Callithrix jacchus: one gene and its partner. The protein of the gene in region 1 purifies or fractionates together with the protein of each later gene. This does not show direct contact. Links are inferred from orthologs where the notes say so. Each region holds a gene or a part of one and is shown in the gene's direction. Other genes may lie near its edges.

What was found.
Region 2: the proteins of BRMS1 (region 1) and RBBP7 purify together in Homo sapiens (affinity purification with mass spectrometry; 3 studies listed by BioGRID and IntAct, counting the BioPlex papers as one, with this or other methods). This does not show direct contact. The link is inferred for Callithrix jacchus from reciprocal best matches to the Homo sapiens genes BRMS1 and RBBP7.

Annotation. Positions count from the first base shown.
Region 1 is NC_133511.1:123,422,232-123,426,728, reverse strand, and holds the start of BRMS1 (breast cancer metastasis-suppressor 1), read left to right. Parts: upstream 1-1,523; 5' UTR 1,524-1,654; intron 1,655-3,361; exon of another isoform or gene 3,362-4,497. Other genes in the region: B4GAT1 (beta-1,4-glucuronyltransferase 1), read left to right, coding at 1-156, 404-595. UniProt on the Homo sapiens protein: Transcriptional repressor. Down-regulates transcription activation by NF-kappa-B by promoting the deacetylation of RELA at 'Lys-310'. Promotes HDAC1 binding to promoter regions.
Region 2 is NC_133524.1:17,122,630-17,126,439, reverse strand, and holds part of RBBP7 (histone-binding protein RBBP7), read left to right. Parts: intron 1-3,457; coding exon 3,458-3,603; intron 3,604-3,810. UniProt on the Homo sapiens protein: Core histone-binding subunit that may target chromatin remodeling factors, histone acetyltransferases and histone deacetylases to their histone substrates in a manner that is regulated by nucleosomal DNA.

The DNA of each region.
Region 1 (4,497 bases):
TATTCCCGTTGGGTCAACCTGCCAGAAGAGAGCCTGCTGCGGCCTGCCTACGTGGTGCCTTGGCAGGACCCCTGGGAGCCATTCTACGTGGCAGGAGGCAAGGTGCCCACCTTTGACGAGCGCTTTCGGCAGTACGGCTTCAACCGAATCAGCCAGGTGCTCATAAGGGAGAGGGCAGGGGTTGGGGCAGGAGGGGTGGTGGGATCAGGGAGTTACGAGGAGTGGCCCTGGATGGAAAAGAGGCAGTGAAGCAGGAGGGATCATAGTTTAGTAGGTGAGTGGATAGTATGGAAGATCCAGGATGCTTCCAGAGGGGTGAGGATGCTGGACTGTGGCTTGAGGGAAGTCAGTCTCAGCCCTGTAAATGTCATCAAATTTTGCTGACCCGTCTTTCCCCCTACAGGCCTGCGAGCTGCACATGGTGGGGTTTGATTTTGAGGTCCTGAACGAAGGTTTCTTGGTTCATAAGGGCTTCAAAGAAGCGTTGAAGTTCCATCCCCAAAAGGAGGCTGAAAATCAGCACAATAAGATCCTTTATCGCCAGTTCAAACAGGAGTTGAAGGCCAAGTACCCCAACTCTCCCCGACGCTGCTGAGCCCTTCCCTCCCCTGGTCTGAGAAGTTAGCCTCTTGGCTCCTCAGGCCACCCTTAGGCCTGACTGGGGTAAGAAATGTGACTCTACTTTACAGAGGTAGCTGTGGTGTTGAAACACTGGACTTGAATATGGGGTGCTGGGATTTAGTCCTAGCTTTACCACTAACTAGCTGTGTGGCCTTGAGTAAATCCCGTTACCTCTCTGGGCCTCAGTTACCCTGTCTGTAAAAAGGGAGGTGAAAATACCTACCTCACAGAACTGTTGGGAGGCTCAGATGAGACGCTATATGTGAAAACATTCTGTAAGCTTCGTACAAATGTGAAGTATTAATATTATCACAGTATTATTATTATTGTTATTAACAATCTTGGGTGGGTAGGAGAGCAAAAAGTATGAATGGGATGGAGCTAAGAAGGCTGAGTACTTAATGAAATGGACTTTTTGGAAAGAAATCAGATGAAGGCATAAAATTTAGTTCTTAGCTCTTGGGCAGAAGCCTAAAATTCCTGGTTCTCTCAGGCCTTCGGCCTCAGGAGCTCTGAAGGAGGGCAGGGTCTGCAGGCCCCATGGGTGACAGCCTCAGATCTGTCCCTTCAACAGGCCGGGCTGAGTATGTGCCTACCGATGACAATGTGTAAATAAATGAGTGTTCACACCCACAGCTGGCTCCGTTACTCTCTTGAGCTGGGGGTGGAGGGATCGGGGCCGGGTTCTCCCCTTGCACACGGTGGGGAGGTGGCCACGGACGAAGGTCGCCGCCTGCAAAGCACTGAAACCTCAGGGCCTTCCTTGCAGGCCAAAGGCCTGCGTGAACGTCGGCCGGTTGCTATGGAGACCGGCCCGCGGTATCCCAGCATGCCTCGGGACCCAACTGTCCAATTGTGAACACCGTCGACGGTCGCGTCCTGATGAAGCACACGGAAGCACCGAGGCTCTGCCTCCTCGAGAAGAGGGAGCCGCGCAGGTCTTACGGGAGGCCGGCGGCAGCAGCCGGTACCGGCAACCACGGGCACCTCTCAGGGAATCTCGGTCGTGAGGCCAGAGGCCCCAGTCCCCGCGGTGCGTATCGCCATGCATGGCTTTTGTTCAGCCTCTCGGGTTAGTCCAGCAGAGCCGGCACAATCTCCTCCTCCGAGCCCGAAGCAGCGATTTAACCGACCTGACGCGTGCTGGGCCGCGGGCCAGCCAGGAATGTTCCGGCCCGTGCCGGCTCATCTAGAAGGGAGCAGGAGGCTCCCTGGGCGCTGCGGAAAAGTTGGGTTGACCTGTGTGAGAGTGGGGAGGGTCTGCCTTCCCTGGGCGCCTGCCCCGGAGGAGCTGCCATTCTGAAAAGATAAATTGCCTGTGTACAGCGCTTTACAATGTGCTTTTCCATCCCTTACCACCTGCGAGCTCTTCAACACTCAGAGTAGGAATAGTTACCTGTTTTTTGCACCCGGGGCAAGGAGGGAAGGTTGTGACTTAACTCACTTATAATCAGAACCAGCGGGAGGAGAGAAAGGCTTCTGGAAGAGATAGGACTTACGCTGCGTCTTACAAAGTGAATATACTAACAGTGAAGAGGCATTGCAAATGTTGGGAACTGGCTTGGAGAACTGAGCTTTTCAGGTCAGGTTGAGGTCATTAGTGAAATTGTTGAGGAATGTGAACGCTCACCTAGGCCAGCCTTACAATGCACAACTTGAATCGGTGTCAAGGACAGTTTGCTACCATTACAGGGACCTGGGACTACCAAAAAGTAAAAGCTAATCTCTGCCTCACAATTTTGTTGTTGTTGTTGTTGTTGTTAAATTTGTATTTGCAAATCCTCCAGTCATCAAGTGAGCTAGTACTATGCTAGGCAAATAAGACGCATGTGCAGCCCCTGCCCTAATGAGGCTCATAGGCTGATTGGGAGGACAGACGGGAGAATGGGCAAATAGGAGATATAAATAAAGCTTCCTGGAGGGAGTGCTGTCTGCACTGTTCTAAAGGACTACAAAGCAGTGTCCAGAGAAGCTGGAAGAATATCACAGCGAAATAGAACCTGCAGGGGGCCGAGAGCTTATCTGCTGAGAGGACTGGTTATTCTTCCTTTTGGGTGATCTCTTGGCAGTACTTGGCACTATCGGTACAATTACTGCTGGGAAGTACTTGGCTTCCTTCTGAAATTCTTTCTCCAAGACTTCGGGTTTGCCTCTGCCTTTGTAGGAGTCTCCTCATCTGCCTCTTTGGTGACCCTGGGAGTCCCATTGTGGATGTCTTCTGACCACACACATTCTGCCTTGATACTTGCACCTTCTCCTGTGGCATGAAGAACTTGCTGTAGGCCGATGACCAAACCTCTGCAGCTCAGATTTCTCACTGAGATTTAGACCCATGTACCCCAGCTGCTTTCCTTCTCTTATTCTGGGTCTTTGCTACTAACTCGATCTGGAATATTCCCTCACTCAATCAGCACAGCTCACCCAGCTGGTCCATCTTCATCTAGAAGCCCTCCCTACTGCATCAGGCTTCAGGTCCTGGTTACATACCCCTCCCTTATACCCTGGTCTTAACTCTCCTCATACCAGAGTTATAGTCTGCTCCTTTGCCCCTGTCTCCCAAGAACTTGTAAACTCCGTGAGGTCAAAGACAGTCACACTTGGGGCCCCTGCATACCATAGTGCCTGACAGTACCTAGCATATATTAGATGTTCAATACATGTTAGATGAGTCAGTAAAAGAATGCTTACCAGTGTTCAGTGTTGCCGAGCAGACAATTGAAATAAGCACTGAAAAATATTGTCATTACCCATAAGGAAGTCACTGGTTAATGGTACAGGATCAGTTTCAGCTGAGATCGATGGGTACAGAAACACATCGAACAAGTGGAAGGTGAAACTAGGAACAGCCAGTGTGCATGAAACCTTGAAAAGTATAACTGAACTGGCAGACAGGGAGCAGTCAGGTGGAAGGGTGAGGTTTTGTGTTTCTGTGTTTTGTTAATGGTAGAAAATACTCAAGCACATTGAAAGTTTCATGGGAAGGAGGTTGCTAAGAGGGAGAAGCTGAAGACACAAAAGAGAGAGGGGAGCACTGATGACCTGAGGTCCTAGAGGAGGCAGAAGGAAATGGGATTTGACCCAGAGCACAGTGAAAGACAAGGGGATTGTAATGGTATCCAGAAGAGAAGCTGAGGGCATTATAGGGAGAAGGAACAGCTGAGGCAGAGGGCAGAAAGTGAAAGTGCAAGCACTGGCCGTTAGATGGTGGGATGAAGGAGCTGGACCGGGAGGGCAAGTGCAGTCTGTGAAAGACCTTGAAAGCCCCGGTCAGAAATGTAGATCCAGTTCAGATATGGTGGCACACACCTGTAATCCCAGCTACTCAGGAGGCTGAGCCAGGAGAATTGCTTGAACCCAGGAGGTGGAGGTTGCAGTGAGCCGAACTCATGCCACTCTAGCCTGGTGACAGAGTGAGACTCTGTCTCAAAAAAAAAGAATGAAAATTGGCTGGGTGTGGTGGCTCATGCCTGTAATCCTAGCACTTTGGAAGGCTGAGGTGGGCGAATCACAAGATCAGGAGTTGGAAACCAGCCTGGCCAACATGGTGAGATCCTGTCTCTACTAAAAATACAAAAAATTAACTGGGCATAGTGGCAGGCACCTGTAATCTTAGCTACTTGGGAGGCTGAGGCAGGAGAATCACTTGAACCCAGGAGGTGGAGGTTGCAGTGAGCCGAGATCGCGGCACTCACTCCAGCCTGGGCGACAGAGCGAGACTGTCTCAAAAAGAGAAAATAAAAATTTAGGTCCAGTTCCATAGGCAGTGGAGAGTGCCCCCTAGGCCTTTCCTTTCTGTGGATCACAGCCTTGGCCAGTATTCCCAGGATTAGGATCACCAGTGACATCCAAGAGCAGGAGCATTTCCACAGCTCCCAG
Region 2 (3,810 bases), on another chromosome or scaffold:
TAATAATCATAATGAGCTAATTTTGTATAAAACTGCTCTTACAATGGCTAGGTTCTGCACGCAAACATTGATTTCCATACAGATAGGGACTTCCACTGGGCCTCCCAAAAATCTAAATGTAAATATGCGGATGTGGGAAGAGTAGAGAACTAAATGGTGAAGACTTGGAAGCATTGACGTTTACAGCCACCTTTGAACAGATTTAACAGTAGATTAAGCATCATATACTCAGGGGTATTCAAGTTCTGGTTTGGAGCATCGTGTGCATTTGCCTGTTTTTGTCTGTTAAGCAGATTTAAAATTTATTAACTAAATTTTGGGGATATTTTTGACCCACTGTAACATAATAGAGTAGGGGCTTTAAACTTAGAGACCTGGGTTGGAATCATGCTCCTGCTTCTACTTAGCTTCATGAACTAGTTGTCTGGGCTGTAAATGGAGATGGTGGTGGTACTGACTACCTCAATTTGAGGGAATTAAATAAGATCATGCATGTTAAAGTGCCTGATGCAGCATGAGTACACAGCAAGTGGTGACTGATGCTGATTCTCCCACCCCTTCCTGTTCAGAAATAATTTGTCAGGATTGAAATAGCTCTGTGTTTCTTCATTTGGATTTCAATGAAAGCTGCTTGCTTAAGTTTTTTTTTTTTTTTTTTTTTTGTTACCTATAATATGTAACACTTAGGAATGTAACAGAAAATGCTTTAATTAAATTATTTCATGTGTATTATGGTGTTCTTTATATACAAAGATGTTGTAGGATTGGGTTGTGGGAAGTGCAGTGGCTTAGAGAATGTAAGAAAATGCCAAGCAGCCTGCATTCTTGGATGTTGAGGATTGCTGTGTGGAGCTTTGCAAGGTTCAGTTTGGGGTATAAAGAGACTGTGTTTTACCACCATATAGCACAATAAAAATGTTGGCTATTCTCAGTGCCTGACTCTGAGGAACTAGACCCTACTCCACCCCATATGCCCTTCTTCTGCCAACTTACAACATGCTTCATAACAATTACTTGGACTTTCTGAGCTATTGTCCTTCAATTGAGTTAAGTAATTGTCCAAATAACTGATTTTGATTTGGCTTTTTTTTTTTTTTTTGGAGACAGAGTTTAGTTCCGTCACTCAGGCTGGAGTGCAATGGCACCATCTCTGCTCATTGCAGCCTCAGCCTCCCAGGTTCAAGCAATTCTCCTGCCTCAGCCTCCTGAGTAGCTGGGATTACAGGCATGCACCACCACGCCTGCCTAATTTTTTTATTTTTAGTAGAGACCGTTTCACCATGTTGGTCAGGTTGGTTTTGAACTCCTGACCTCGTGATCTGTCTGCCTTGGCCTCCCAAAGTGCTGGGATTACAGGCGTTGATTTGGCTTTTAAAAGGTTTTTTTTAGGTAGCTCTGTGAAATTTTTTTAATTAGGTAGGTATTTCATATCTCTTGTTGAATAATTCCTGAACTATATTGAGACTAACTTATTCTCTACCTTAAAAAGCTTTGTAATTTTTCAAATTCAGGCAGTACATCCTTTTGTACATCCCTTACTGCCCTACTTCCTTTCCCCAGTCACTGTTTTCAGTTTCTTAATCCATCCTGCCAGCATGTAGAAGTGTATACCTGTATCTTCATCTTTTTTTATGGTAGCAAGTTCTTCACTTGAGTTTGTCAGTAAAAGTGTAAATTGGAGATTTTCCTATCAGCATGCTTGGATATGCTTGTTGTTTTAAAGGGTGCCAGAGAATTCTGTTTTGTTTTTGTTTTTTAATGAGATGGAGTTTTGCTCTTGTTGCCCTGGCTGGAGTGCAATGGTGCAATCTCCACTCACTGCAACCTCTGTCTCCTTGGTTCAGGTGTTTCTCCTGCCTCAGCCTCCTGAGTAGCTGGGATTACAGGCATGTGCCACCATGCCTGGCTAATTTTGTATTTTTAGTAGAGAAGGGGTTTCACTGTGTTGGCCAGGCTGGTCACAAACTCCTGACCTCAGGTGATCCGCCCGCCTCAGCCTCCCAGAGTGCTGGGATTACAGGCATGAGCCACCGTAGCTGGCTGTCTTTTTTTTAAACAAGTTGCTATTGCTTAGTTATGGCTTCCTTACTCTGTTCTTGGGGGAGTGTGTGTGTGTGTGTATCTGTCTGTGCACACTTTTTTTTTTTTTTCTAAGACAGAGTCTCTGTGTCACCCAGGCTGGAGTGCAGTGGCACGATCGTGGCTCACAGCAACCTCTACCTCCCTGGTTCAAGCAATTTCCCTGCCTCAGCCTCCCAAGCAGCGGGGATTACAGGCGCATGCCACCATGCCTGGCTAATTTTTTTGCATTTTTAGTAGAGGTGGGGTTTCACCGTGTTGGTCAGGCTGGTCTGGAACTCCTGACCTCATGATCCGCCTACTTCGACCTCCCAAAAGTGCTGGGATTGCAGACGTGAGCCACCGTGCCCAGCCGCGTACACTTTTTTTACTGTAAGCCAAATCTTGGTAAAATTGCATCTTGTATTTTCTTATTACTAAATTACTTGCCTAGAAGTAACATTCAGTCTTTTTTTTTTTTTTTTAACCATTGAATCCTTTGTGCAACTGAAATTTTTAAACAGATAAATGGCCTAACTTGTGTTGGGGCCTAGAGCCCGTCTAAGTCCTCTTCATTGAGATGGGACCGTGGAGCACAGTTGAAAATTGTGTTCTAGATAATACAAATGGGAAAGCCTTTTTGATAGATACTGGTGAAAAATCACTGCTTGGACCAAGGTGCCAAGAGGTTTGGGCAAGTTCTTCAGCCTCAAGGTGAGTTTCCACAGAACAAGGTAACAAAGACACCTCAGTAAAACTGAGAATGTTCATTTCATAAACTTAGGTCTCATAAACATAAATAAGGGGTTTCACATCAGACCATTTGCACTTACAACCTGTTTTTTTCAGTGAAGAAACAGGCCCCAGGGAGGTTGTGTTTGAAGCAATTGCATTTTAGTTTGATCCGGGACTTAAGCTAAGTTTTTTTGACTCAACACTTTCTGTCCATACTACCTTGTAGAATTTCTTATTGGGAAATAAGAAACATCTACTGTATAAGATATCTTTAGGTGGGAAGAAGATTTTTTTAGGTGATTTATGAGTACGGGGACTGTTGGTGGACTCCTGTGTAGATGTTTGTGTTTACTGAGTTGGGCCTACCTTCCCCAGAGTGCTGCTCTATAAAAGGCAGTATTCACATTGATAATTGAAGCACAGGAGAATAGCTCTTGGGGAAAGAAGCAAGCCTTCTGCATGTCGTAGCTAGAATATTATTTTCTTACACTTGCATATGTGGTGATTGTAAAGTTGGTAACCACACAGGGAGAAGATACACAGTTGATACTAAGTATATATTTGCTAAAGAAATTTGAATGTATTTTGAGGGAACTTGACTGAATTTGTTAGCAACTGGAAATTTCTTAGAGGATTAGTGTGACTTGTTTTCTTTTCTAAACAGACCGGAAGGAAAAGATTATGCCCTTCATTGGCTAGTGCTGGGGACTCACACGTCTGATGAGCAGAATCATCTGGTGGTTGCTCGAGTACATATTCCCAATGATGATGCACAGTTTGATGCTTCCCATTGTGACAGTGACAAGGGTGGTAGGTATATTATATATTCCAATATTGATGTCAAAGGGGATATGCCTCGTTCAAAGCGTGTGCTACTAAAACTATTAGCTTTTGGCCCAGTAATTTAACTCTAGGACTTTATCCTACGGAATTACTCACCCACATGTACATAAGGGATTTTAATCGTAATTGTAGAATTGAAAAATTAAGATCAACCTAGTAACCCAGATGTTGGTT